Linked DNA regions of Struthio camelus. The protein of the gene in region 2 interacts with the protein of the main gene of each other region in a pairwise test. Links are inferred from orthologs where the notes say so. Each region holds a gene or a part of one and is shown on either strand. Other genes may lie near its edges.

Region 1 (7,363 bases), on a different chromosome or scaffold from region 2:
TTGTATTAATTCATAGGAAGGCAATTCACTGAGAAACAGTCTAGAAGACTGCAGAGCTAGATACCGTTATAAAACAGTCAGGTAAAGAAGTTCACAAAAGGAAGTGGATTTTTAAACAAGGCCCTGAAGAAAAAGGAGGGGATCCAAGCATACAAAAAGAAGCATGAAGCTGAGAGACAGGAAGAGGCAGAAGAAAAGTTAAAAGTAGGTAGGGAATAGAGGATGATACCAATAGAGTGATCAAGGCACAGAGGTCAATGACAAAGGGACTGTACAAAGACTTGAAGATCAGGATATTTTTCTTAGTACAACAACCAAACAAATTTTAGAGGCAGCAAACTTAAAACAATTACAAGTAAGTACATTTTTATGTAACGCCTGAAACTCATTGCCTCTAGATACTCTTGAAATCAAAAACTTAATAGGAGCCAGAAAAGGATGAATTACAGTTACGTTACACAGGATTCATTTCATCTTTAGAAGAAAAAAACATTCTTCATGCTTCCTTGCAGAAGCTAGGTACTAAGTGATGAAAGGAATTAGAACGAGATTTACCTCATCTGACATAATGCAATACTTACGTGTTATGGGCAGTTTGCAGCTTCTGCTAAAAACAGCGCTATCCAATCATAATGTAAAAAGCCTCAACAACTTTGGAACACATACAAAACCTCAGAGTGCCAGCCTACTCTAACCAAGAAGGTGCTAGGAGGAAACTCTTCCCGAAAGCGAGTTCTCTCTTAATTGCTTTTTAGCAAGGCAATTCCTTTGAAGCAATAGCTATAGGCCATTGCTAGAGAAGGATACTGAATTAAGGATATTGTTTATACTGTGACTCAGTGTGCCAGTTCCTATGTTGCTATGTTTTGATGGATGGAAGGGCAGAGTGAAAGCTGTAAAACCCAAGACACAGATGACTAATTCAGTCCTGGCTTAGCAGCAGCGAGGGGATGGTTGTCCTGTGCAATGTAACTTGTTGTCTGGAATATGGTAACGTGTGAAAATTGTCACTGTGTTTAAGGCACAACTACTTCATTGGTTTGCTGAGCCATGTAAGGACAGGACAAAATTGAGACTATCTCAAACTCTCTCTCTTATTAACACATGGAGTATTTGAAGTTGGGTGGAGATCAAAACTGGAGCTAAGTTCCATCATTACTTAGATTTGCTTTGCACAGTACTAATGTTGTGTTTAAGTTTATATGCTCCTTTTTCGGGAAAGGTTATCACTAGCAGCAACAGGCAAAACATTTAGTACAGAACAGCCTGTATATCTAAAATCTAAACTTTGGATTTGGAAAATAATTTGGGGGAAAAGAGGGATCCGTTCCTGCATCTGCTATGGTACCAGACTCATCCTGCTTTCAGTCATGCAAAAAAATTAGTCATAAAAAAATGAGTCCAAGGACTACTTTAAGTCCGTTTCCCATCTCCAATATAGACTAACTCCACTTGTCAGAAAAGGGTCTCCATTAAGGGGAAACTATGACCTATCCCAGGCCAGATGTACCACCCTACCTGTAAATGGTAAAGTTTGACTTTTATTCTGAAGCAAGTTGCTGCCCCTTAAACATGTTACTCCCTTTAACTGTGGCTACTATTTTCATCTACTCACTCCTTGGGGTGAAATCTGTGTCCCACTGAAATCAAAGGCAAAATAGCTAACTTCAAAGGGCTCATGATTTCTGCTCTCTTCTTGCTCCATGCATTAATTATGCTACAGATTGTATTTCCTTTTATTTGTTTGGACTCTTTTTTTTCTGCTACATTCTTCTTTTCCTGTTGCTTTCACAAAAAGACAGTAAGGGAATACAGCTGATTTTCCTTATATTGCCTATTATTTCATAAATCTCTGTCAAGGCAACTCCTTTCTGTAAAGGAGAGTCCACATCACTTCAATCTTTTCATACAAAATTCCAGCCTCTGATCAATGTTCACTGCCTTTTTTCTGGTATGATATCTTTGAGCTAAGTAATGAAGACTGACCACAAGATCCAATATCAAAGCATACCATTACTACAACATGGCAGGCACAGCAGAGGTTCTCTTTCTTTCTCCTTTTTCCTTATGGCTTCTAAAAATGCGCTTTTCTGTTCACCACTGGGCACTGACAATTACTGTACAGAGATGAAAAAAGCTGCAAAAGGTTAGAGTGAAACATCATGAAAAACAGTCCCTCCTTGTGATATTTATGTTTCTGCTGCTGGCCTTGGCAGAAGTCCAGATTCTGCATGAACAAAACTCCCAAAGGCTTAAGGACTACAGAATTTAGCCCATAGTCAGGAAGCACAATAACATGTGACAATGGGAAGAAATAAAAAATAGCTTTCCAATGCTTTTGAGCTTCCAACTCGATCAGTTTGGATCAAAACCCAGGGGCTGTTAAGATTCTGTGTGAATGAGTTCTCTATTGCTAAACAAAAGCATGTGTGTGTTACCGTGTAAGACAGTTAAGTGGTAAACAATATGTGGCTTCGTTTTCTCATTGATATTTCATTTTACAGAACCAGCACTATAAAATCCCAATTTATATAGCAGGCCGCTGTCTTCTCTATTCAAATACAGTGATGAACCGCTTCAGAAAACACAAAATCAACTCCCTAATTCTCCTTCTTTCCAGGAAAGCTACCTGATACCCAGTGTTCACTACTCAGCGCCAAAGCATGGTTCTTCTACAAAAATGAGAAGTTAAAATCGTAGGGTAATGCTCCATGTTTACTATCATCCAGTAACTCAGGTTAAAACTGTCCCCTTTACATTAGATGTCCGTTGGTTAACTGATACCATGAAAACTTCTTAGTTGGGAAAGCAATACTGAATTCTCATCTTTTTTTAAACACTTAAAATATAAATTAGCCACAATTATATTATCAAGGACAGAAGGTGTCACTGCTACTGTAGATGACGTGCAGAGCAGAGCAGAGAGAGTTTTGCTTTTTGTCCCATCAGTTTTGCTTTTTGTCCCACTTGTAATTCTCACGTGGCAGTCGCCTGTCTTCACAGCCTACATTTTTAGATATCTAGAGGTTACAGGAGACCAATAAACATGAGTCCGTGTCAGCAAAATATTTCAAACCCATTTTATACTTTCTCTCTTTTGTGAATTTAGTGACAGACCAGTAAAACTGGGATCTTAGAGCCACAGAACACAGAGAGGGTAGCAGGTGTCTAAGCACTCTCTTGTTGACCATTTCCATGACCAGATGGGGCCAGGTGTAAAATTCAGGTTTCTATTTACATTTTCCAGAAATGTATAGGTTTTATAGGTTGTGGGAAAATTCCAAAGAGGCCTCTCTATTTCAATAAAACTAACATTAACTGTTTCAGAGACAATTCTTTTTGTTTTGGGATTTCTTTTTTTTTTTTAATTTACAAACTCCCTATGTATCTCGTGCCTACCTTACACTTAAAGCAGTCACAAAAATTCACTGAGAGAAAGTAGGTTTCTGAAGCAAGATTGTGTCTTGTCAGTGTGTGAGCAGAGCTGGGGGTTGACAGGCAGGAAAAGAGCAGCCTCTGTGTATTAGATGAAAACCAGCTGAGCATGCCTAGGGATGTGGTAGAAAGGCAGCTGACTGTTCCCACCAGCAATGGTCAATGCAGCTCACCGGTGCTGGCTGAGAGAAGTTGCCACAATAGTAGATCGGACTGTGAACCTTTTACTTTGCAGAAAAAGAAAGCTATAACAGAAGGAACTGGGAATCCAAGGCATAGTTCTCATTCCCTGGGATGCTCCACAGAAAGCGTAACAATTTACTGGGCCTTTGATCACGTTGGATCACAAGTTACAATCTAGCCCATAAGGAGACGAGTGTGCAAGAATTAGTAGGTTGAAGAGACCATGTCATTTCAAGGTGAACAATACAAGGGCTTGGCATTCAAAAGTGGCTCCTATTGTTTTTTGCTCCCGGAGCAGAAGTAGCCTATGAAATTCTTACTAGCTTAATGCTTAAAATATCTGCTGAAAATTATGAGAAACATGCTGGCCGTCTCGTCTCGGCCTCCAGCAGGAAATCCTGCACTTGATTAGCATCGATTTTCCTCCCTCTCACAGTAAGCCTAACATGCCTGAACCCCATCAATCCTAGGACCAGAGTGTGATGGGTAGAAACAAATGACACAGACTCCTTAAATGGTCTTTTCTTCCTTGGGTAGCGGGAAGCTTGCTGGAAACAGTTCCCCCAATACTGCATCCCATTGCTTTTGTTTATCTATCCTTGCTGACATTTTCTTCAATTAGGAAACAATAGCTCCGTTCCAATGTGCTGAGCAGAATTACTGAAACTGAGTCACGTGATATCATGAGGGTGTGTTTTCAATTATTCACTCTGTCTTTTTTTGCCAGGCCTATGAAGAGGAACAGCCTTCTGCAGAAGTCAGGTTTGCCTGCCTCGCTGTTGTAAGTTCCTCCTTTTGAATTTTTATTCTGCAATAAGTATAGGGTTTTTTTTTTTCAATAGTAAATCCAACTCTCCTAAAGTGCCTTTCTCTTTGTTAGAAAACTTCCAGATCTCTAGTTCTTCCTATTGCCTGGAAATCCTAGACATCTGCAATAGTTCAGTGTAATAGTATTGCTCAGGACTGAATCTGACAAAGATCACAAGATCTAGATTAAAAGGGGATGCAAGATATCATGCTGTTAGCACTTAGTAATATAAAACTCATCTTGTTCTTGCTAGCAAAGCACAGATCTAACTCTCCCACTGAGTGTTTAACAGCAGAGCACTACCATTCAATCTGGGAGCTACACCAAATTATTTATATCTTGTAAATGCTCGGTTTAATATACAACCAAAAATCTGAACCAAATGGGCACAGCTCAAATTATGTATTTTGTTTGCAGAGGACAGATTGAGTTAGGGCTTTTTAAACTTAAAGCTGGAAAAATAAAGCTTGAGGAAAAAAAAAAGAAAAAGAGAAGGAACATTTGGTTTGCATTACAAACCACAGACAACTTCCATCAGGCGCAGTGGAGGTATAGGAATGGCAAGAGAAAATGACAAGCAGCGAGTGCACTGAAAAGAAAGATGAATGGCTTGGAGAATTGACTTTGAAGTAATTGTCCATGCCCACAATACCTTGAATTAAATTTAGTGGAAGATGGCAATGAATCATAGGGCTTCTCTGGCACTGGCAATGCTATTTTCTGTGTAAAATAACATTTCTGGATATTTATATTGGGAAACTTACAGACTGTGTTTTTGGTGCCTCCTATATTTCTGTCACTTATGCAACCCCAAATCAGAAGCTCTGTAAAGGATGCAGCCTTAGTCAAGGCTTGGGCTGTGATCTGATACTTAGAGCAAGCATTTAAATGGAAGTCACCAGGTCTACAGGGTTTATTTTCAGCTCAGTCACTGGCTTGCTTTGAGATACTAGGTAAGTCATTCAGGGTTAAATTTGGTCTTTGAGAGGTGATTAAGCTCTAGGGGAGGGAGGGAAGGGGAAAGGAGCTGACACAGCAGGGCAGAAAAGATTTTCTCTCTGCATAAGACAGAATTCCTCAGGAGACATTGCATGGAGGGTGGGATGGCAGGGTGCACTTAGAATTGTGTTTCCTTTACTGTTTCAACAGGTGCTTCTGCATGTTCCCTGCATCCCAGATGCTTAACGCTAGTTGGAGAGGCAACTTTCAGAGCATTTAGTGCTGATAGCAATGCTCCCTCTTAAGCTCTGCAGCTTCAGGTAGAATGAGAAAGGGGTCCTGCATCTGTCTGACCTTCATTCTAGCACATCAACCTCCAGAGGGCCATATTTCAATTATTAAACTATCTAGTCTTCTGCTTACCCACGTACTTAATGGTTCTGTTTCATTCTTTTAGGGGAGATAAGAGTGCATTTAATTTTTGTACAACATCAAAATCCTTGAATGAAAAGTTTCTTCTAATTTTCTCCCACAGGCAAGGTTGCTTAGGTCTGAATGCACAGCTCGGGCTAATTTCTGACACTGTTTTTGCTGGTATCTAACAGGGATTGACAGAATCACAGAAGAAGCAACAATCCCCATTGTAGACTTTAAAGCGATGCACATTGCACAGACCTGTAGCAAGTTAGCCCTGCTGCTTCCTGTTGAGATGCTGGGGAGAGGTACTCGTTAAGTTACTCCAATGTGTCAGCAAGGCATGAAGTTCTCCTTGTCCATCATACCGCCTTTTCAAGAGTATTCTGTTCTAATGGGACAGATTTCATTTTTCCCTTCCTCTAAAATATCTTCAGACATACATGAAAAGCAACATCAAGCTTTAGAAGATTAACTTCTTAACACACTGAGACTCTAACAGGGATTTCCCAATTCAAAAACTGCAATTAGGTGGGTGCATAATAAAGTATTCTAAAGTTCTGGGCTAACCAAAAAGCTAAAAATGGTCCTTTTTCACAAAATACAAACCAAAAAATCCCAAACCTTGAAAGTCCTTACATATTTGTAGGGATAAGTGTGAGACAGCTTTTAACTAATGCAAAGTAATCAACAGAAAAGCATATGAAAGATTGCAAACTTGTGAGGCTGAATTTCATCAGCAACAATTCCTTATTTCAGCTCTCAAAGTTATTATTCTGATGAAATTCATAGCACTTTTCATCTCTGTACTTCAAAATAATTTACAGAGTAGAGGTTCTGAAAAGTAACTTCTCTCAATTGTGCAGAAAGGGAGATTAATGCTAGAGAAATACGACACAAAGTCAAAGACAAAGTCCACGTGTTAAAGCTGAGCTCCATGTCATCCCTTTCCCCATCCCCTCTGGCCACTGAATCCTTACACAAAGGCTGAGATGTCCTTTCATTCAGCGTGCACTCTGTCACATGAATGGAGCGTGGCTGTGCTGTTGGGCAGTCCTCCATCCACACTGCGGCTGCGTTCGTCCATGGCTGCAAATCCTGTTGCTATTCATAAGAAAAGAGGCTACTCTGAAAAAAAGAAAACGAAACATGGGACGAAGAACATGCTGTGTACTGAAGAGAATGAGGGAGAATACGCTAGTTCAATTTGACCCTTTCCTTGTGCAAGTGTTGGGGAGGCTGGGAACCCAGTGAGTTTGGTTCCAGTGTTCCCACTCAGCAGGGCCAGACTCTCCCATAGCGACAGGGACGAGACGCTCCCAGTGGACACACAGGAGAGGGGCAGAACACCCACCAGCTCTGTTGAACTTGACATGTTCTCCCAAAACCTTCAACTTTGCCGTGGAATAGCGTTCTCCTGGGAAACCCAAAGAATTCCAGTGCGCAGGGCATAAGTTTCGGGAAGCACTAGAGATTTTGTTCGGGAAGAGAGACATTAGGGAGAAGAGCAATATTAGGATTGGTATGACAGAATATAAGTTATCCCTAAACTTTTGTAAGAGTATCACCTACCAAAAATGCCAG
Region 2 (7,821 bases):
ACAGAAGGTTTTTCGCATAGCAACCATGTTAATAGAGTTTCTCTAATTAGCATTTAAGAAATAAGTTTTCTTGATCTATACTAAAAAGATCCACAATTGTAAGTACTCGACCTTTTATTTTAGTCGTATTTGTTTAAAAAAAACCACACACACACACACACACACACACACACAGAAGCATGCTTTGCATAGCTTCTCTAATTTTTGAAGATTTTAAACTCATGTACGAGCTCCATCCAGTTTTCTCTGACCAAAACATAGATTTTCACCTCTTGGAGACAGTAGATGGAAATCAGCATCTAATCCTGCTCCATCTAAAACCTGTATAACAATAAAAAAATCCACCCCAATGGAACTTCCGTTTGAATGACGGAAGATAACATAAAGGTGAATCTGCCCATATGGCTCTAAACAAGTTAACTGGAACCAGATTTAAAACTGGTTCAACCCAAAAGCATTTCGGCCATTTCAGCTCTGAAGGTAGGTGTGATCTAATCGTATTGAACTGTTTTAGACCGAAGTTTTTCCTAGCATTTTTAAAAAATCTGTTTACTACAGTACAATTCCATGGTGATTAGAGAAGTGGAAAATATAGTATAAGGAAGGAACTCCAAGACTCATGTTCATGGTCATCTAGGCTTGCTGTGCCCAGGATTAGACAGCCTCATAAGAATATTAACCAACAGCTGATCCTAGCAATTCTTTGACAGACACGATTGAGGGATACGTAGCAGTGTGAGGTTTACTGGTAAAAGAGACATGCTATAACGCCGATCAGTGGAATGATGTTTTAAAGGCTTTGATACTTTTTCTAAGGATCTTCTCCTAAGCATGAGCGTGACTGCAGAGGAAAGCATGAAGGTGTGTTTTCAGTGCTATTTAAAAAGATGATATTCTGGGCCAGGTGAAGGTGAGAGTCCGCATCTTGACAGGGGACATGGGCTGAGAGGAATGATGAGGACAGACTGTGGAAGGGATTTCTCTTCGGGGAAGAGAAGTAGGATAAAACTGATGCAAAAGAGGGGGAGGAATGCAAAGGGAGGATGACATAATCGAGAAGGACATGCTTTGTGGAAGGCTTCTGAGTGAAAAACTGTGGGCAAAGGAGACTGCTTTAGTCTAGACAGGTTTTCTGGCCATGTGGATGGGGAGAAAGGACATCTGTAACTGCAGTACAGTGTGGGGAGAACCAAGCTATATTTAAATTAACTAATACCCCAGGGACGTTGTGAAACGGAGACGGAAACACTTCCTTCCCAGCAACAGGATAGGGAAGGGAGCTCTGATGTTCCCTGGCTGTTTGGAGAAGCTTTCTGGCCAGCCAGCTTTCTGTGCGGCTTTCTGGGCCGCACCTGACTTGAGACATCCAGGAAGGCATCAGGACATTGACCTGAGAGCTTCATCAGTCAGTGCAGGGAGCCACAGCACCCAAGAGGGAGTGATGCCAGGAGATTCGTTGCCAATCTGCAGGTGAAGTCAACTTATTTGTTGAGGATGCATAACAGAAGGGCACTGGATGTGTTGCGGTGCGGAGCATCTAAAGCCTGGCTAGTCCTCATGAGAAAAGTCCTCCTTGTGCAGGTAAACGTCCTCATGTTAATTGTATCATATTTGATAGCAATAAACAAAGGACTCGTCAGTTATAACGTAGAAGAGCTGATAATGCTACTCCTGTATCAGTTTTTATCAGCTTCTGAACTATGCAGATAATGTTCAAAGAGAGGATTTTCTCTTCGCATGTGATGTCTTAAAAATTCAAAAGATATTCCTGACTGCTATGCGTATGAAAACATTTAATTTGAAGCAAGGTGAGTGCAAATGTTTGTTCGTGGAGATCTCAGACTGCAAGAATCACGAAGCAGAAGCTTCTGTGTGTGATTTTTGAACATTAGTCATTATAACTGAAGCAGTTTCAAAAAGCGTAAGCAGTCTTCCACAATTGCCCACCCTTGGAGCAAATTTCTTGATTGTGTTGTTAGTGCCGTAAGAAATGTCAAATCTAAGCAGAGCAATTGCCTTGCCAAAAACATTTACTGTATAAAATATAAGCTGAAAAGTCTGAGAAAGAGGAAAAACCCCAAACCCAGTTTTCTGCGATTCAGCTTAAAGACAGCCAGTGTTTTGATTTGTTCCTACCTAAATCGTGGCTTTTCTTTACTGTGTTTCACATACAAAGCAACCTGCATACCAAAAGCATGCACTTCAACAACCCAGAAGCTCGAAAGAAGTAGGGACGTTATTGCTACTGAGTTCAATACCGTGAAATCAAGCAGGTAGCTTTCCCTTCATTTTGGCAAGATAATAATTCTTATAAATCCTATTGTACTACAGAAGTCCGTCTGTACACACTTTATGTTACAGCCCCATTATATGATACCTCAAATATTGCAGTAAAGTAACTAAGCAGAGGAGAAAACAGAGTCTTTCGTATGCCTCATTTTCTTTCCAATGAGAACAAAGGAGAAAATGATAATTGACTTGAAGCTGCATGCACGTACAATTCTACATCACATTCCAAACATTTATTTTTGCAAATTGCTCTGTCTTCTCTGCACGGTAGTCTTGCTGATGGTGTGTGATAAGCTAACTCAAATGTATACATGAACACGTAACGAGACTGGAGCGGCCGAATTCTTCAAACTGTCTGCAGGAATACATATTCATCTCACGAACAAAATAAAATGCTCACTTTTCTATAGAAAGCACGTCTAGTCATGTTTGAAACAAATTATACGGAGAGCAGAATAAATCCTGAATGCCTCGGTGAAAACTGTTCAAAAGAAAAACCCACACGGCTTTCAGAGCTATGGTGTATGTATGGAGAAGACGGTTACTGCCCATGACCAGCATACCTTTCTTGAGAGGGGAGAGAGAGAAGTTAAGTATGTTTGAGCAAATGTCTCGAAAATTAGTATGATAGGAGTTGAAAATTACTATGTAAATTGTACGCAACCTACCCTTCTCCTCCACTATTTAAATATCCAGACAGACACAGAACGTGTATCTATGCAAAGATGTAATTGCAGTTGTTTAAAATGTGTCATCCGCGCTCTTTGATTCTACAGCTGAATATGCACATCCTCAAAATATACCAAAAATATGGGGCAGGAGACTAGGAATATGCTAGCATGCCGTATTTAATACAAAGTCAATGTTCAGAAGCATTACGGGATCATCATCGGCTGTTCAGGCCCCGGCACAAGCAAGCAGCACCTCAATGCTGCATTTAACAGTGAATTGCATTGAAGACATATTAACCAAGTGCTTTTCTGAACCGGGAACAAATGGTAACATTTTCTGGTCACACATTCAAAGCTATTTAGCCACAGTGCACCCGGGCCCATGCACGCGAAGGTGCCTTTCCGAACAGCCCTCTCGGAGACTTCCTGGGAAACAGGATTCCCGTTACGAGGGCAGGATACTGATTACATTTGCATACGGGCAAATCCCGAGGTCTGGGAGACGTGTGATCCCAAGGTCTGCAGGCTGGGATTGCTGCTGTGCTGGGCGACCTAGGGACAGAAGCTCGCGAGCATTTGAGAATTTGGGTCTAAATTGCTTTGGAGAGCGGGTCTTGTAAACAACTCCGCAGGAGGCTAACTCCTCCTGGAGGAGAGCTAAGCTCCGAAGGGGCCTTTTCCAAGTCAGAAGGCTGGAGGCAAGCTGAGCCCTGAGGCTCGCAGGGGCCAGGGGGTCTGGCTGCTCAGGGCCGGTGCAAACCAGACTGTTGCTAAATCTCTTAAAGAGGCAGCCCCGGCCCGGAGAGGCAGCGTGGTGCACCCAAGTCTTGCAGGACCGGCTGCTCCGCAGCAAGCGTTTCTGCAAGGCTGCCGACCCTGTTGCATGTTAGTAGAATTGCGTCGGGGCAGCAGAGAGATGGGACTTTGTGCTCTTGAAACGGATCGGGGGGGAAAAAAAAAGCTTATCACAAGTGCGTGGTGCTAGTTTATTTTCATAGCATTCTTTGTAGCGCTACAGAAGCTGTTAGCATCTCAGGATTTGAAAACAGAATTAGCTATTGCATGCGTGAGGCAAATCAGCAGTGTCATTCGGCACACCGCCCCATGCGGAGTTTTGCCCTGGGACTGGGCTAGTGTATGAAAGCCTGCTTTTGTAGCTACGAGCAGTTAACAAATAACACAAGGGTTTTACGAGCAATGCTGAAGCTGGGGCGTGCTTGCGTTGCTCGTTGCAAACCTGTGCCTGCTTCCTGAGCCTAAGGAGCGCTGAGTTTTCAGTTCTTCTAAACAGGAGACTGGTCTTTGGCATGTGCTTTCCCCCCTTACGGCAGAGCCTTGCTTTGAAAACCAGAATGATGAAATAGTCTTTTTTTTTTTTTTTTTGTGTGTTGCTGCTGCTGAAGCAGTCCCTCTCTCCTGCTGGTCAGGAGAAGGATACTGCAAATTGGAAACAAAATGAAACTGCTGCCTGTGTTGAAAGCAAATGCGAGGCAAGAGAGGGAGCGCAGCTGCTGGCGCGCCAAACAGGGAAGACTGATCATTTAAGCGCGCAGTGTACGGGGCTCTGGGTTTCACACCTCCGCGCACACGCCTCCGCCGCCGCCGCTCCACACAGTCCGAAGGGAGCCTGCCCAAAACTGCCTGCCTCCTCCTGCCCGCCGCCCCGCCAACCCCGCCGGGGCAGGCCTCGCCGGGCGCCGCGGCCCCCAGCCTCCGGGCAGCAGCGGGCCGGCTCCTGCCCCGCCTGCCCCGCTCGCTACACGCCGGGGCCGCGGCCATTGGATATATAAGAGAAGCGTCGCCGGCGCCTGGCTGAGCGAGCTCGCTCGCGGCGGCCGGGCCGGGAGCGGCATGGAGGCCGAGGAGGAGGCGGCGGCGGCGGCGAAGGCGGCTCTGCGGACGCCCAAGTGCTCCCGGTGCCGCAACCACGGCTTCGTGGTGCCGGTGAAGGGCCACGCCGGGCACTGCCGCTGGAAGCTCTGCCTCTGCGACAAGTGCGCCCTCATCTCCGAGCGCCAGAAGATCATGGCGGCCCAGAAGGCGCTGCGGCGGCAGGCGCCCGACCCCTCGGCCGCCGAGCCCGCCGGCGAGGGCCCCGGGGCGGCCGGCGCCTCCGAGCAGGGCGGCCCGGCGGCCGGCCGCGAGGGCACCAAGGGCGCCCCGCCGGCCGGAGGCAACGGCCGGGGCATGGCGCGCCGGGGACCGCCGCCGCCGCCACCGCCGCCGCCGCCGCCTGCCCCCGGCGGCGCCCCGCTCTGGGACTACGGTAAGGGTCGCGCCGGCGCCTGTCCCCGACGGCCATCCCCACCCTGCCCCGCTGTCCCCCGCGTCCGTCCCCTCCCTCCGTGCGCCCGGGTGAGCGAGGCTGCGTGTGTTTGTCCTGCGGCGGCGGCGTTTCCGATGGTGCCGGTGGTGCCGGGGTCGTGCGACTTTGTAGCTGCAGGAGCGATGCGGTCAGCTGCTCCGCTCCTGCAAGTGTTGCCACGCCGGGAGTTAAAGCCGGAGCGTTGCTCTTCTGGAGGGAAATTTGGGAGGGAAACCGAACTGTGACCAACTGCGCGAGAGAGGCGCGTGCGCACGTGTCCCCGAGCGCTGCCCCCTTGTTTACAGCTTCACAGACACGTCCCTTCAGCAAGAAAAACACTTAAAAAAACTGAGCAACGGCAAGTAAACGGCAAAGTTACTGCCGCAGTCGCCTAGAGCACGCGTTTTATGATAGCGCCATAAAAGAAGGAGACCTTTTGGCCTTCGTTCCTGTAGCAACGGCTTAGCTTGGCGCGGACCGCGTGGTGCAAAAGCGCGTTTGTATTTAAGAGTGGAGCATAGATTTTGCAGATGGAAAAGGTGTATGGTCTGTCACCTCTTAAATTGCTTCCTTTAATAGAGTCTTTCATGTGACTTGTCTAGTCTATTACTATTTATTATAGTAATTTCAGACTATTACTATTTACTGTGGTAATTTTACAGAAATCCCGACAGGCTGCAGTAGCCGTTAGCGTGGGCCTGTGGAGAGATGGCAGTTTAGAAGACAAAGAAAATGCTGGTCTGAGAAGCCCGGAGAAAAGAGTCATTTCAGACATCCCTAGTTCCCACCTCATCTGTCAATAACTGTTCCATTTTTTCGGCTTGGTTTCCTAAGGAAATGAGGCTTATGGATCATGCTGGCTGTGCATGTTCCTGTCAGTCTTTCCCTTAATAAAATTTTTAACCTGTTGACCGATTTCAAGCAGAGTTAGGGGCAAACAGCAGAATTATAGTACTCCGGTAGATTTATTCGAGAAGCAAACCCTTCCACTGCTACATCAACAGGGGGATGGTGCAGACAAGAAAGACCCTATTCATTTTCATGCAGCCCCTTTTTTTTTAGACATCAGAGAAGCCATGTGAGAGTTCAGGCACAAGATAAAAACCCAAAGGAAGCAGTTGATTCCTGCATCTGAAACTGCCGCTCTTTGTCACGGAACCTAAAAATGAGGACTTCTCTGCCTCTTAACTTTGGAAGTGCTAATAGTCCTGAATGTAGAGCTGTATATTATTTCTCTCTCTATATATGTTTTTTTTAGTTTTGATATATTTAAGTCTTAAGGCAGGTTGTTTTCTCCTGCTGTTGTGGCTATACTGAAAGAATAAGACTCTGCAGTCAGTGCTTTACTAAGGACTAGCTTCACAATGCACAGGAGGGTAGAAGAGACTGCAGCTCCTTCTGCAGTGGTTCGTTTGCCTGTTGCACCTTTCCTTAGTTCCTTAAAAAGATCACAAAAGAAGTTCATCGGGGTAAACGTGAAACCAAATGGCCAGGTGCTCCTGGCTGAGAGTGGAATTTGGCCCTGCAGCTATTTCGGTTGAACTCCACAGCACTACAGTGACGCTTCTATTTGTTCTTTGCTAACTGTTTCCCAGCTCACCGGGCTTTTCCTCCAGAATACGTGGTTAACCCAGAGTACCTGGAGAGAGAACCTCTGAAGGTGTACCCTGGGCGTTCTGGGGTGTATCCTTACCACCCGTTTCCCGTGGGATTTGCCATCAATCAATCAGGCTGCAGGGGAGCACCACCACCGGCAGGGATGTCGCTGCAAAGAGGTTTCCGACACGTTCCCAGCACCTATGGGCCAGGGAGCGCAGCTTCTCTGTCAGTAAGTAGTGGTTTTTTTACTTACCTCTGGAAAGACTGTTGTCTTTGTTTTTAGCTGCCTTCTTGCTGTGAAAGTAACCATGAAGAGTTACCTGCTTATCAGTTACTTCACAGCATCTTGATACATTGCACTGAAGAAACCAGGAGCAAGCAGTGACGTTAATAGCCTGTCCTGAAGCCGGGACATCAAACTCACGCAGTTATGAGGGGCTAGATTTTGTATTTGGGGGCTTACACCTCCTGCTGATGTCGACAGCAGCCTTTTGGGACGATGGCAGCTGGTCACTGACGTGGTCCTAGTGTACCAGCGTAGATGGCACAGAATGTGCACCGGGAAGCCTCTCTTCTTCCGTGTAGGACAGAAGTCATTGGGTGGGAAGGTATCTTGGGTTGGCCAACCCGCCGCAGCCACAGAGAAGGACAGGGAGAAATCTCTTTCGGCTTCCACAGGATACTGATTCAGCACAGTCAGGTGTTTCTGTTTTGGGACATTTAGTTTCTCAAAAAAAGTGGAAAATTGTTGTGGTTAGTGGAAGTTTCAAATGAAAAATGACTAACGGAAAACCCTGTTTTCTATTGAGAAAAACGTTGAGCAGAAAGTTGAGATCGTATTGAGGGGGAACGGACAGGTGTATTTTGTAAGGAGTATGAAAGCTGAGGGTGGCGAGCAAAGTACCCAGCTGAGGGATAGACCAGGGCAAGGCTTAGCCCACACCTTCAAATCACAGA
Region 3 (7,382 bases), on a different chromosome or scaffold from region 2:
AGCTGTGCCCAGTTCTGGTTATCACCTCCTTGTTCTGTGCAGGAGGGGGGAAGCTAGGATACTCTCTGCACTTGCTACTGCTGTGGAGAGGCCCAAGAGGAGCCAAACTCTGCAGCGGAGAACAACAGCCAGAGCACCCTGCTGATAGTCTTTATTGCAACAAAGCTGCTAGGCACTCCCCTGCACCACTAGTGGCCTGGAAACAGGCATTTAGCTCCCTTGTGCCTGCACTGCTGTGGGAGGTCATCCCCTCCAGCAACTCCACTGCTGCTCTACAGGAGCCAGCCCAGCTGGCTAGGGGCAGCTGGAGCAATTCCTCTGGACAGTAACTGAGCAGAGCAGAAAGCTCTTGGAAAATATTTATTATGCACAGCACAAATATAAAATCCATCCTGGGAGGGAGGGCCTGGCTGGCTCTTCCAACCTCTGGCAGGTGCAGAGCTGAATGCAGGAGGCTCAAATCCAGTGGTTCCTTGGGCCACAGCAGCCCCTGGAGGGTGGTGGCTAGCAAGGCTCACTGCAGGCTCCAAGGGGCGCAAGCCAGCTGCTGCCAGCCAGCGACAAGCCATGCCCCATTGGGCTGGCAGGGCTGCTAGGTCTGCAGGAACTCGGGCTGCACGCGGGCCACCTTGCGGAAGTCCTTGGTGTGCGTCCGTGGGCACTGCATCTCGCACCAGCTGATAGGCACCATCTGCACCCCTAGGAAGCGTGGCAAGTCAGTGGCTGGTTTCTCAGCACCGCCATCCCTGTGCTGTGGTGCCTTACCTCCCTCCACACAGTGTCTGGGCTAGGCCCCTCTGACTGCCCCAGGGAGCCAAGGGGGCTGTGTGGGTTCGTGCCCAGAGGGCATAGCTCTGGCCTCCCAGCTTTAAGGCAACAAAACCCCTTTCTGCTCCCACTGCGTGACCACCCACCCATCTCTGCTAATAGCCACAGACCTTCACTTGTATTCCTTGTTTCCAACGGTCCAAATCCCTCCTCCCAAGGCCCTTGGGGCCCATGAGGTTCAGCAGCACAGGGGAGGAGGGTGCTTCTGCTCTCTGAGCTGCATCAGCTGCTCCTCACATGGGGCGAGGCAGAACTGGCCGAGCCTGGGCCCTGCTGCCTGTTCCTACCTGCTTCGCTGCGAGCCACCACCACACCCAGCTCGTTCTCCGCCGTGCTCAGCAGGTAGTTGGACTGTGCATCCCCCAGGGAGATCTGGTTAGAAACGGGTTAAGGGAAAGGCCTCCCTGAGGGGACTCGAGCGCAAACCCTCTCCCCCATGCGGGCCCTCCCGGTGCGAGGGCAAAGGATACGACTTTGGCCAGGACTATGTCACCAGGGCGGAAACTCTTGTAAACTTCTACCTGCATGGGAGAGAGGAGACACAAACACACAGTGTGTGGGGGAGCCTGTCAGTGGGGGCATGGCAGGGCAGCCATGGCAGCTGCCCCACAGCTGGGGCAGGACAAGTGCCACCCTGCCAACAGAAAGGAGTACAGGAGGCTGAGCACATGCCAGGGTTGCTGTGGTAGCCCAGAAACTGGCAGTGCCTCACTGACCTTGTCTTTCTCTGTGGCTCGAATATCTTCTCTCCTAGAAGAGGAGACAGAGGGATCTGAGCACCGGAGTGAGCAAACAGGACTCCCCACCCCGCTGCAGGAGTTTCCCCAGCCTCTGTCAATGCCCACCAGGGCTTGCTGGGCATCTTGCCGGCACTCGAGGCAGAGCTCCTGCCAAAGGCTTCGCCTGGCTGGCAGGGACCAGAGCCCAGGCAAAGCAGTGCAGAAAACCCTTCTGCTCATGTTGAGGACGGGCCATTTGGGCACTAGGCCTTGCTGGGAATCCAGCCCTTTCCCTACCGTATGGTTCCCCGGAACGTGGACTTCAGGGGTGTGGAGCCGATGTACAGGATGTGCACCTTGGCAAAGCGGGAGTTAATGCTGCAAACCTGCCAAGAGGAAGAGCTGGGAATCAGTGCCAATCCAAGCGTGGTCTGACCCCAGCACGCCTTCCCCAGACATCCATGCACCAGGACAGGTATAAGGCAAGGGTCCTGCTGCCCATGGCTGTACATGAGAAGGTAGTGTCCCAGGCCCCCCCAGCTCTGTGTACCCAAAGGAGCCGCAAAGGAGAAGGGATACCCAACAGCAAGCCAGCAGGAAAATGGCACTTGTACACCTGAAGAGTGCACCAGGCTCCACAAGCCGTGGGGCAACAAGGTTTGCCAGGTCTGCCACTGCAAGGCTGGCATCTCCCTCCTGCACCCAAAGGGCCCTCCTCCTCAGAGCACAGACCTGCACACACTCCAGTGCCCTACCTTGCATGTCACAACGGCCCCCACATCAGGCAGGAGCTGGGACTCAGCATCTCTCACCACAGACACAACAGGCAGCTGCACGGGAGCAGACGCGAGGGTTAGCTCAGGGCACGATGCACGGCTCACGCACATGGTCGTGCTGGACCATGCTCAGAGCACACACTGGCTGGACAGCCGGAGCCCAGCTGCCCAGGGCAGGCAGCGGGCTGGGAAGGGGCTGCACAGCCTCCTCTGGGGAAGGGCAGTGCGTGCCACAGCCATGCTCACCCCACTCTCCTCGCTCCTCTTCTCCAGGCAGCCAGCCAGCGACGCGAAGATGAAGCCGTGCCGCGTGTAAGTCCCACTGCCGGCGCTGGCTTCCCCGGTGCTGCACAGCCGCTCGCCTGCGGGACGCGCGCGCAGCCTGAGGCCGGCGCCGGCAGAGGCCGCCGGGGCTCGGGCCGTGCTGCCGCCGCCGCCGCCGCCAGGGCCCCTTCTGCAGGGCGGCCCTCTCCCCTATCCCCAGAGCCCCCCGGGCCTGCCTCCTCGCATGCCCCGGGGGGCTCCCCACCACCTCCTTCCCGGCCAGCCCTCCCCGAGCCGCCTAGGCCCCGCGGCGGAGCGGGCGGGCCGGAGCCTTGCACTCACCGGGGACGCAGTACCGAGCCGGAGGCGCCATGCTAACTACTCGCAGTGCACCCGCAGAAAGCCCTCACTCTATTGGCCCCCGGCAGCAAGACCCTGCCGTAAGCGGCGCTACTATTGGCTCGTGCCGGCCCTGCCCAGAGCGCTGGCGCGCTGCCCGCTGGGAGTTGTAGTCCGGCGCCCGCCGAGGGGGCGCTTCCCGGCAGGCCCCGCGCGGCCAGCGCGCAGGCGCAGTGTGCGGGGCGGCGGGAGCTGCCCGTGGGCAGAGGGCGGCGGGCCGCCGGGCATGGAGACGGCGGGCGGCGGGGCCGCAGGTTGCTGGCACGGGGGAGCGGGGCCCTATGGGCTGGGCTGGGCAGGGCATCACTGAGGGATGCCATGGGCCTGGAGGGGACCTGGGTGTCAATGGGGGATGCTGTTGCCTGGAGGGGGCTGGGTGCTGTGGGGCTGGGAGTGAATGGGGGGGGGGTTATGGGCCTGGAAGGGCTGGGTGATGTGGGGCTGGGAGTCGGTGTGAGGGTGCCACGGGCCTGGAGGGGGCTGGGTGCTGTGAGGCTGGGAGTGAATGGGGGGGTGCTATGGGCCTGGAAGGGCTGGGTGCTGTGGGGCTGGGAGTCGGTGTGAGGGCCATGGGCCTGGAGGGGGCTGGGTGCTGTGGGGCTGGGAGTCAGTGGGGGGATGCCATGGGCCTGGAGGGGGCTGGATGCTGTGGGGCTGAGAGTCAGTGGGGGGATGCCATGGGCCTGGAGGGACTGGGTACAGTAGGTAGGGGGTGCTGTGGGCCTGGGGAGTGAATAGGGGTATGTCATGGGCCTGGAGGGGCTGGGTGCTGTGGGGCTGAGGAGCCTAGGTGCTATGGGGCTGAGGGCTTTGTGCGGTTGGCATGGGCAGCCTTTGTGTTATGTTGCTGGGTGCTGAAGGAGGGTGACTCGGAGCTGGAGGCTGCGGGGCATGGGTGCTACTGGAATGGGGGAGCTGGAAGCCAGCAGAGGGTGCCACAGGGCTGGGCTCCGCTAAGCTGCAGCCCCGCAGGGTCTTGCAGGCCTCGCCATATACCTGGGGTAGGGCCTTCCCTAAAGCTCTCTCCTGCTTCTTGCTGTTTTGATGCCTGTGGTGTCCGGCTTGGCCATGCTGGAGGTTGCTGCTGCCCCTTCCCTGGCGGGGAGATGGCCGTGCTTGTGTGGCTCGGCTCCTCAGGGCCATGGGCATGGCAAGGGCTGGAGCTCTGGTGCCAGAGCGAGCCTGTGGTGATGCACGGCTCTGCTGGAGCCTCGTCGTTGCTGTCTGCAGGGGGGAGCCCCGGGGCAGAGGGTTCCTGCCCTGTCCCTAGGCAGCTCGGGCTGACTGCCTTCCGTGTGCCCCTCCAGCTCGGCAGCCACCATCTGTCAAAGGCGAGGCAATCTCTTTAATCAGAGCCTGGCAGTCTTGGGGGGAGCGGGCTTGGCAGGCATATATGCTGTGGGTTTGGAGAGGAGGGCCGGCCCCAAGACCTGCCCCGGCTGCAGCGTTTTACCCTTACTTAGACTAAAAAGATGGGGACAGATGCCACCCAAAGGCTATGCAGCTGAAAGTGCTAATCCACTTCTAATATGTTTCAGAGGAAAACTCTTGGCAGAGTCTAGAGAAAACGTAGGGTAGGGGGTGGCACTGGGGCTTGCTCATCCCACCCCCCCATTACCAGAGTGCAGGAGAAGTAGGAACCTGGGGAGGAGTCATGCTTATGGCCTGTGGCGGATTGCTGGGTCTGGTGGGTCTGACACCCTGATGTCCAGCTGCTCCAAGCCTTGGAGTCAGCCCTACACTCGTCTGGGCAGGGCAGGGCAGGGCAGGGCAGGGCAGAGGGGAGCCCCTGGCTCCTTTGGACAGCCCGTGTGGATGTTGCAGCTCCTGACCTTACCCTCTCTGCTGCTCCCCAGGGGCTGTCCCCTGCCAGTTCCTTCTGGTGTGGCAGCATGTTGGTGGCAGCAGGTATCGTGGCACAGGGAGCTGGTCCCCGCTGGACAGGCTCTGCTGCGGGTGGCACCTTCCTGCTCCCTCCAACTGGCGTGGGTCCCCCGCGGGTTGGGAACTGAGATGGCCTGGGCTCCGTGGTTTGGGCACAGGGCAGCGCTGGGCCCAGCAGCTCTGCTGTCCTGTGGGTCCCGTCATCACGCTGCTTTAGCCGCACTGGGGATGTGGCTGGGTGTTCCCAGTATTAGGGAGTGGAGGTGTTTGGAGGATGGGGGAGCAGCAGGCTGGAGCCAGGCGAATGCTGCTTTAGACCTGGCTCCGTTGCCTTGTGTGGCGAGTCCTGCCTGCCGAGGGGCAGCTCTGTGCCTGCCTCGCCTGGTGCCAGTGGGGAGCTGGAAACAGCAGCTGAGAGAGATTAGGGCAGTTTTTGGGGCCAGGGTGGCTGCGGAGCTGTCGTGAGTCGTGTGGGGGACAGGCTCCGTGGCAGCATGCGGCACTGCTGCCTGGCACTGTGCTGGGGCGAGTGCCTGGCCCAGGCTCGGAGAGTGCCTTCGCAGGACCCTGGGGTGGCCTCACTCCTGGTTAATATTGATGGGCCATGCCTGCACGGAGGCCTCGGGGCCCCGACCCAGCAGATCGTTTGCCTCGTTGCTGGGCCAGCTCGGGTTCCTCCTCGCTCCTAGCACGGCTCTCGGGTGGGATGAAGAGCTCAGCAGGCAGGTGAGCTCTTGGCTGTGAGGGTCTCTTTTCCTGCACAGCATCATGTCTGCCTGTAGCTTCCCAGGGTCAGACCAGCCTGTCCTTCACTGTCACGTGGGGTTATCTGAGGTGAAACCAGGCAAGGGGAAGAGGGGAAGCTGTGGGTCTCCTGGAGTGGGGCTGTGAGGTGGGGAACAGCTCCTGAGGCTTGGTCTGGAGGTTCGAGCAAAGCGAAGCAACGTCCAGGCCCTGCCCTCTGGGGGTAGCAAGGTAATCTTGGTGTGGGTCCTCTGTGCTTGTCTTCTGAGGACTCCCCCAGTCCTGAACTGGGCATGAGGGACTGGGCCTGGGATTGTCCCTTGTCTCTGAGCATCCTTGGTGAGCCCCTGCCCTGGAACTGGCCCAGCATCCTGAACACTTGCGCCTTCTCTGGTTTCCTCTGAGTCAGTCTCTCCGTCTCACTATCCTGGCCCCCTCTCCTCTGGGAAAGACGAGATGGGACTGGAGAGCGTCTACACCCAGCCGTGGAGGGCTGAGGGACCTGTGTCCCCTGCTGCAGCCCCACGGCCTCCAGGAGTGTGGGCTCAGCTCCTCCTACTCCTACTCTGCATCCTTGTGTGGGACATAGGAGAGGTCCTGGCTCTGCTGTGCATGCAGGTGTCTAGCAGGGTTGGTGCAGGGAGCTGGGGTGTCACTCAGGGCTCTGAGAGGGTGCAGGGAGCTGGGGTGTCACTCAGGGCTCTGAGAGTGGCACCAGCACTTCCAGGAGGGCAGAGCCTCTCCAGGGAGTCCCCAGCCCTTGCTGTGGGACGGCTGGGTGCCTGGGCAGTGCAGCGGCCTGCCCATGCTAAGCGTCTCTCCTCGCAGGTGCGGCACGGCAGGGATGAGGAGCCGGCAGCGGATGTTTGCGGCGGTGATGCGCCTGCTCCTCAAATGCCTGCGGCTGGGCCGGCGGCGGCGGTTTAAGCTGGTGCGGCAAGTGGAGCAGCTGTGGCACTACGGGCGCCTCTGCCTCCGTTCCTTGCTCTACAACTCCTTCACCAACAGCGACGTGGTGCTCGATTCCCTCTTTGAGCCTGTCTACTGGCTGGTGGACCACGTCACCCGTTGGTTCGGTGTGGTGAGTGTCCCCAATGGGGAGGGGTGCTCCTGGGGCAATTGAATCTTACCCCTGCAGGGACTGAACCGGCTGCCTGCACTGGGCTTGATGTGTGCTGTGCTTAGCTGGAGGGAGTGGGGGCTTTGGCTTGTGGTTCAACTCGTCTTCCCGTGCCTGAATCCTGCCTTGGTAGAATGGGGCAGGTGCTGCGTGCTCCCGTGACTCAGTTCCCTTTCCCATAGGTGTTTGTGGCACTGGTGATTGGGCTGACAAGCTCCATAGTGGCCATTGTGTACATCTGCCTGCTGCCCCTCATCCTGCAGACCTACACACCTGCCTGGATATGCTGGCACCTCGCCTACGGACACTGGAACCTCCTCATGATCGTCTTCCACTACTACATGGCCATCACCACCTCTCCTGGACACCCACCACAGGTGAGGCCAGGCCTGGGCACCAGTCAGCAGCCCAGCCTCTCCCGGGAGCAGGACCAGCACCAGCTGTAGGGGAAGCTCTGGGCTGCTCCCCAATTTGTGCTGCAGACGACTGCTGGGACCAGCCAGACCACCCTGGGGGCATCACTGCAGGAGCCCTCTTCCAGGATGGGGCGGCTGAGGCTGGGCAGTGCTGGGGCGGGGGAGTGATGGAGAGGTTGGTGGGGGGCAGGTAGTGGGCTGTCCCCAGTGCTGTTTAGGGCTCGCTCAGAGT
Region 4 (6,870 bases), on a different chromosome or scaffold from region 2:
TGTCTCTATCCAGCTCAAAATGAATAAATACCTTCATTGTAATTGATTTCTCTACTGGCAATCCCAGAGTTCAACTACTAAATTTCTCTGAGGAGAGTACTCATTTCCCCTTACTCCACGCTGTGCTTGGCTACACGTTTAAAAACATGATACTGAGAAAAATGAAAAAAAAAAAGAAAAAAAAAAGGAAAAGTTTTGAGGTCTCCTGTTAGCTTGCAGAAGCGTTTTGAAAGCTAAACATCTGACTGATGAATTCTCAATGATCAGACATTTGTATAAAAAGCTGACAAGCAGAAATAAATTTTGGCTTGTGTGCAATAAAGCCAATTCTTGTTTTTGTAACTACAGTTAAAAATAATAAAGATGTACTCAAGACTCCAAAATACTAACTCAACAGCGAGGAACATACTGGCCTTTGGATTATCAGATATCAGTTTGCTTTAATGACTTAAATTATAAAAGCCTCAAAGCAGCTGACATCAAACAGCTGACCATTAATGGACAACAAAGGAGATGCATCCTTGAAAGGAAAACGTACAACAGCTAACACAATTCACTCCAAATTGAATAAAAAAGTTAACAAACTCCTATTACCAGATTCTGCCTGTAGACACATATATGTGTGACATGAGTTGGAACTACAGGTCATGACATGAAGATAAGTTTTGGCCCCAAAACTGCACTTGGGTGGCTTCCAGAGTGCAAATCAAATAGGAAACTGATCAAAATCTTCACCGCACTAAGATACGTAAAATAACGCTGACTTTGTACTGCTCTGTTAGGTCAAACAAATTTGAGGAAAAATGCTAATGCAAAGGAAAGTTTAATCACTTCTACTCATTTGCCACAAGCAATGGGTTAGGTCTGAAGGAAAAACTGACTGAACTCAGAATCAGCATTCTCACAACAACTCATGCAGACGAAGGATACACAGAATGAAACAATACTGATAAAAATGTATGCAAAATTTCATGATAATTCTCAAAAGCAATTTCCAAAAACTAAGTCACAGTATTACTTTTGTGCTATGAAGTACATATAACCAGTGTTCAAGAAATACTGATGATATTTGCATTTTTAAATCCCTTCTTTACTACCAAAATAAGGATGTTTAACTGCATCTCAGCTGCATTATACTGTATTTTATTCTCAGCTGATGTATTCTTCAGCTTGATTTTAAAACTAAAACAGGTTAAGAAACTATGCTGAGGCATGAACAGATACTTAAAATGGTTATTTAAATATGATTAATATCCATTTTACTACTGACACTTTAATACAATCGACCATCAATTACGCTTAACGTGGTTACGTGGACAACGATTTCCACAATATTAGTGCAGCGCTTAAATAGTCTCTAAGATGTTTGCACAAGTTGCTCAGGCAACTTACGTAGCACCAAACAATCTTTCATATTTTTAGTCTATAATTTCTCCTTCTATTTATTTTTAAACGGGCATAACTATTCCTTTAGATCAATTTATTTTCTGCCCTTTTTTAAGAAAACATTTACTAGCACAGCGCCATGCGTTTTGGAACTACGTAAGCACTTCGGATACACAAACAACCGCGTAGATCAATGTCCCAAAAACAAAAGCCCTCCCAAATCCCGGAAGACCAGAGCCGAACTGGACAGAGATTTTAGGATGGGGAGGAAGCACTGTTCAGATAAAGGATTACTGGAACGGTTCCGCTATTTTTAATACCTTATGTAAGCAGTAGGCTGAAATTAGGCTGACACCAAACTGAGAGACAATTTTTTTTTTTTTCCAACGGGAAAAACAACAGCGAATCCCTGCTTTTCCCGACGGGAAGCCTGTGCCTTGGTCCAGCCGCGCCCGCCCGCCCGCCCGCCCGCCCGCCCGGCCCCTCGCCGCGCCCGGCGCCGGTGCCTCCTTCACATCACCGGCCCGGCCCTGAGCAAAACCGGCTGCCCCCGTGTTTCCCCGTCGGCCCTGCTGCGGCGCAGGCTGCGGCCGAGGCAAGCCGCCCTCCGGCCCCTCGAGCAGGAGCCCCAGGGCGGGCGGGCATCCCGGGGAGGGGAGCAGGGACAGGCGCCCCGGGGGATAAAGCCCTGACCTGAAGCGGGGCACAACCCCCGGTCCCCCTACGCGGGGTCCCCATTCACCGTTATAGGTTGATCTCACCAAGCAGGTGACACGTTAAAGAGGAGAGGAGAAAAAAACATAAATAAAACGCAGATTTAAGTTTAAGCAGAACAAGAGCAAGTAGATGTGGGGGCTAATGCTTATAATAGCCTGGAGAGCACCATCTGGGTGAGCATTAGCGGGGAGGCGGGGGACACCTGCAGCCCGGCGGGGGGTCAGAGCAAGGGCTCTGCTGCCCCGCGGTGGGGTGGGGGGGAGGGAGACGGCCGGGCCGCGGCCCCCGGCGCTGCCCCGGGTGGGGAAAAGGGAGGTGGGCGAGGGGCACCGAGACCGAGCCGCCGCCGGGCAAGGCCGCGCTACGAACCGCACGTACCACGTATCCTCGTCCTCTCCGCAGCAGCCCTCCTCCAGCTCCAGCACCGCCACCTCGTCCAGCACCGTGGCCGCTGCCGCCGGGCCGCCGCCGCCGCCACCCGCTTCCTGCCCGCCGCCGCAAGCCGCCGCCAGGCCGGGCGTGGGCTTGAAATAAGCGAGGGGCTCCGGCGGGCCCAGCGCGGCGGCGCACAGCAGGGTGGGCACCGCGCTGGGCGCGCAAGGAGCGGCCCCGCCACCGCCGCCGCCGGCCGCCGCCGGGGGGGGGCCAGCAGGGCCCAGCCCGCCAGGAGCCGGCGGCGGGGCCAGCAGCAGGTGCGGGCTGGGCGGGCCCGCGGCGGCCGCCGTGGCCGTGGCGGCCGCGGCGGCGGCACGGCTCCGCAGCTGCTCGTTTTGCTTCTCCAGCTTCCGCACCAGCTCCTGCAGCTTCTTCACCTCCAGCTCGGCACTGACGACCGAGCCCACGGCGGGGCCGGCGCCGCTCCCTTTCACCTCCGCCATCATCGCCGGCTTCAGCAAGGCAGCCTCCATCCTCCCTCGCCGCCGGCACCTGCGCCGCCGCTGGGCAGCGCCCGGCGCCGCGAGCGGCCGTTGGCGCGCGGGGGCGGGCGGCCGTTGGCGAGGGCGGCTCGCGCCGCTCCCTCGCCCCTCCGCGCCCTGCGCTGCGCTGCGCTGCGCTGCGCTGCGGCGGCGCCACCGCCCCCCCCCACCCCTCACGCCCGCCGCGACGCCGTAGCAGCCGCCTCCGCTGCTCTTGCGCCTCCTGTCAGCGGCGGCGCGGGAGCCGGTGAGATCCCCTCCCACTCGGCAGCCGGAGCCCCCCTCCCTTCCCGCCCCATACAGAGAGAGGGAACAAAGAGCCGCCCGGCTCCCCTGCCGTCAGGCGGCGGCGGGCGCTCCTTGGGGGCGGGAGGCAGCGCGGAGGGGGGTGGCGGCCCGGCAGCCCCCTCAGCGCCACGGCCGGGCTGGGGTGGGGGCTCCGGCCAGGCCCGGCGGCGGCCCTCGGCGGGAGAGGGAGGGGGAGGACGGCGGCGGCGGGGCGAGGGCCGCGGTGACCCGCGTGGGGGCGGCGGGGCCATGTCATCCCGGGGCTTTAGACAAAGGTCTTTGCCCGGCCGTGGTTGCGGCGCGCAAACGCCGCTGCCGGGCTGCGAGCTGGATCCGGCCCAGGCTGTCATTCCTCCTGTGAGCCATATAATTAGCGCCTGGTGGTGTCAGGGTTGTAATTATGCAGATTTAGCTGTGATGGGAATGAGAATCACGAATCAAGGCTTTGTTGTGTTGGAAAGGAACGAATTCAGCCCAAAGCACGCATTTGTGGCTTTGAAACATGCTGATTGTAGGACTTTTGATTCAGGACAAGGAAAGTGCATGTCTTTTTGGAGATACGTTGCTGAAGAAGCATGAAGACGATTCAAAGCGTAGTAGAAAACCACATAAGCAAATCGTTTATGTATCAGAGAGCCCCTGAGATTAAAATTGGCCCCGTGTTGAAATGAGGTCTTTTAACTTGATCCAGATACGTATATGGGTTTGTAGTGTTGAGTCTCTGCTTGAGAGGGATGGATGACATTGAGATATGGAAATGTTTTTATATTGTTCTTCATTATCCAGCACTTAGAGAAACTATTGTTTGCTTTTCTCTCTCCTGCCGAGCAGGTGACCTGGCAGCTTGGTCTGTCAGGCATGTGCATGGAGGTGAAAGCAGGAGCCGAGAACATCACCCCCGGTCGTCTGCCATGGTGCCCTTGCCAGGGGCCAGAGCGAGTCTGATGTGAGAACAGTCAAACCACACAGGGGTACCCTTGATCTGAATTATTCACACAGGATAATGTAACTACAAATAACTTCAAAATACTGACCACTTCTGTGAGCTCATTACTGTGAACATGAGTATCCCAAATGCTCAGCAATAGTGGGCATAGTCAGCTCCTCCCTGGAGGCAAGAAGATCAACAGGGATTCAGTGTTATGCCCAAGGCAACTTGGCCATTATAGAATCCAGGACTGCCCATTTTCTGGTCCATTTCCCCGAGCTAGAATTACAGAGGACAGCTTTCTAAATGATTGTCCTGAAGTTTCCTAAAGCTATAATACAAAATACGCAATAAAATCGCAGGAAGCAGTTAAATTGCTGGGTGAGTCACTATGGACTATAGTCACTATAGTCACTATAGCTATCAAGATACATAGGGTAGCTTCCCAGTTACTGAACATCAACACTGGACAGAGTAGTACCAACAACAGTCACCACTGCCTCTTCACAGTGTCTATTCCCTATCTCAGATTTCATATGTGAGAAGGGGACAGGCCCTAATTCTCTGTTCAGGGCATAAGTAAACTTTGAAATCATCCGGCCTGTCAAAATTTTCTGTCTTTTGTTTACACTCTTTGAAAACAGACTCTCTTTTTTCTGCATATGCACAAGACAATGAGTCTACTATTTGTTAGTCTTCTAAGCGCTATTACAGTGCAAACAACAACTAGCACTTCAAGAATGGATGGAAAGGAAGATAAAATAGGGCATAAGGCTTTTTGACTTCCAGATAATGTAACTTTTATCACTGAGGAGAATAAAAATAGCCCTCACTGTATTAGTGTGCAACCAGATATCAGTAAATCCAAAAATGTGTTTGATCTCCTCTGCCCGTTAGGAAGAAAGGAGTGAAAAAATGTTAACGGTGTAGAAAATGGCTGGTCCCAATTCTGTCACACATCATCAGAGTGAGTAGTATAATCCAGTTTTTGTTACTACCAATAATCTTCATTTCCATGAGAAAAAGAGGAATAAGTTTCAACATGTTTAGCCCCAGGCAAAAGGCCTGTCTCTCACGTTGTCATCCCCCATAATGGTACTAGCCTTAATTCTTAGAAGTATGTGTATGCTAATCCAGTAAAATTTTTAAAATGATAAAAAGGTAACTAGCAGCATATGTAATATAGCGTTTACTGGTCATTGGTGCTGTACAACGTAAAAAACGCAGTAGTTTGTGATAATGTCACAATAATTATGGTGGATAATGCAATGAGGCAGAGGAAATACTGAAAATGTTCCAGAACGGAGAAATTACTTTTTCTCTTTGAACCAGGTGAGCAAAGTTATTTAGACGACGAACAAAAAGCAGGAAATTGATATCTGATTGTTTCACCTTTCAGCTACATAGCGTTTTTCCTAATATTTCCAAATGTTTTGGCACGGGTTTATCCCTATAACCTTCAATATTCAATATTAAATGTGGACCTGGCAACAATATTCTAATTATATACCAGCTAGGTTAGCCCTGAAGAGTATTGACAAACAAATGTCCTGAAAATACTAGTGATCCAAGCTCTTCTGACTGCCAAAGCAGGAACACTACAGTGTGGTCAGGACATTTTAGAAGTAAAAATATCTAACACAGACACCAGTTTGGGGATACGTTTGGAGATATACTACAAGTATCATGGCACGTGACCTTAAGAGTCACTATTAAAATACTTATCTTCAGTTATGAGTAGAAGCAGTTTGTCTGTGAATTTTCAACTACCTTCCACTGTTTAGACTGCCTACAAACATATTGTATGCAGACACTTGTTTGGACCTAGTTCCAGAAGGGACAAAGCTTAGGACTGAGTATGATGCCTTAGCATGGGGATAAAAACTTTTCCAGGCAGTTTGTACAAATTAATCAAGTTCACTACATCCAGTCGCCACAAAAATGGTCCAGAAGTTTGGCTCTCCCTAGGGTGGGTCTGCTTTGAGCCTAATCTCCATCCAGCAGTATGGATTGAAAACAGCTTAAACTTGTGCATGTTCACAATCTGGGTGAGAGACTCTATCTTTTTTACCAGGCATTTCCTGAAAGGGTGGTTCTAGTGAATGGAAAAAATCAGTTTCGCTATGGTTGCTCTATATTAAACGTACAGGTAGTTTCACTAACATTGCATCTTCACTCAGAGGTTCTGGCAGATAGAGTGTGTGTACATGAACATGCTATTTCATGGTCTTTGTGCTGGCCAAAAAGATGGTTTTGACATCCTAGTCATTAAAATATTTTTGACCTAAGTTGTTTTTTTAATACAAATGGTTTTTCTCCACTGTTGACATTGCTAATAACTTGCTTGACCAGCTCCATTCAGAATTCCCACACTTGCTGATGTGTTTGGTCAACCCAGAACTCCTACAGCTCTTCACAAAACACAATGAAGACTGTATGAAGACTGCATCCCTTTTTTAAGTTATTGAAAAAATGTGTTTTACACCAATCCAAAACATCCAAACATGCCCATGAAGCCTGTTATTCCTCAACCGGAGAAACTGTGGTAGCATAGAAGATGGTGGTTTAGGCTACTTATGTGACATAGTATAGTAGAAATTTCTGAATCAGAATAGTTACTAATAGACACCCAGT

What was found.
Region 1: the proteins of DMRTB1 (region 2) and IL16 interact in a two-hybrid assay, tested with the Homo sapiens proteins (2 studies listed by BioGRID). The two-hybrid records come from large-scale screens. The link is inferred for Struthio camelus from reciprocal best matches to the Homo sapiens genes DMRTB1 and IL16.
Region 3: the proteins of DMRTB1 (region 2) and EXOSC1 interact in a two-hybrid assay, tested with the Homo sapiens proteins (2 studies listed by BioGRID). The link is inferred for Struthio camelus from reciprocal best matches to the Homo sapiens genes DMRTB1 and EXOSC1.
Region 4: the proteins of DMRTB1 (region 2) and SLAIN1 interact in a two-hybrid assay, tested with the Homo sapiens proteins (2 studies listed by BioGRID). The link is inferred for Struthio camelus from reciprocal best matches to the Homo sapiens genes DMRTB1 and SLAIN1.

Annotation. Positions count from the first base shown.
Region 1 is NC_090953.1:10,890,845-10,898,207, forward strand, and holds the start of IL16 (pro-interleukin-16), read left to right. Parts: upstream 1-4,345; 5' UTR 4,346-4,349; coding exon 4,350-4,399; intron 4,400-6,759; exon of another isoform or gene 6,760-7,363. UniProt on the Homo sapiens protein: Interleukin-16 stimulates a migratory response in CD4+ lymphocytes, monocytes, and eosinophils. Primes CD4+ T-cells for IL-2 and IL-15 responsiveness. Also induces T-lymphocyte expression of interleukin 2 receptor. Ligand for CD4.
Region 2 is NC_090949.1:32,201,385-32,209,205, forward strand, and holds the start of DMRTB1 (doublesex- and mab-3-related transcription factor B1), read left to right. Parts: upstream 1-4,811; coding exon 4,812-5,226; intron 5,227-6,860; coding exon 6,861-7,093; intron 7,094-7,821.
Region 3 is NC_090948.1:16,978,392-16,985,773, forward strand, and holds EXOSC1 (exosome complex component CSL4), read right to left. Parts: upstream 3,017-7,382; 5' UTR 2,961-3,016; coding exon 2,930-2,960; intron 2,686-2,929; coding exon 2,570-2,685; intron 2,378-2,569; coding exon 2,303-2,377; intron 1,934-2,302; coding exon 1,845-1,933; intron 1,579-1,844; coding exon 1,545-1,578; intron 1,350-1,544; coding exon 1,299-1,349; intron 1,201-1,298; coding exon 1,116-1,200; intron 700-1,115; coding exon 593-699; 3' UTR 348-592; downstream 1-347. Other genes in the region: palmitoyltransferase ZDHHC16, read left to right, coding at 5,475-5,596, 6,443-6,695, 6,917-7,111. UniProt on the Homo sapiens protein: Non-catalytic component of the RNA exosome complex which has 3'->5' exoribonuclease activity and participates in a multitude of cellular RNA processing and degradation events.
Region 4 is NC_090942.1:176,505,837-176,512,706, forward strand, and holds the start of SLAIN1 (SLAIN motif-containing protein 1), read right to left. Parts: upstream 3,020-6,870; 5' UTR 3,012-3,019; coding exon 2,482-3,011; intron 1-2,481. UniProt on the Homo sapiens protein: Microtubule plus-end tracking protein that might be involved in the regulation of cytoplasmic microtubule dynamics, microtubule organization and microtubule elongation.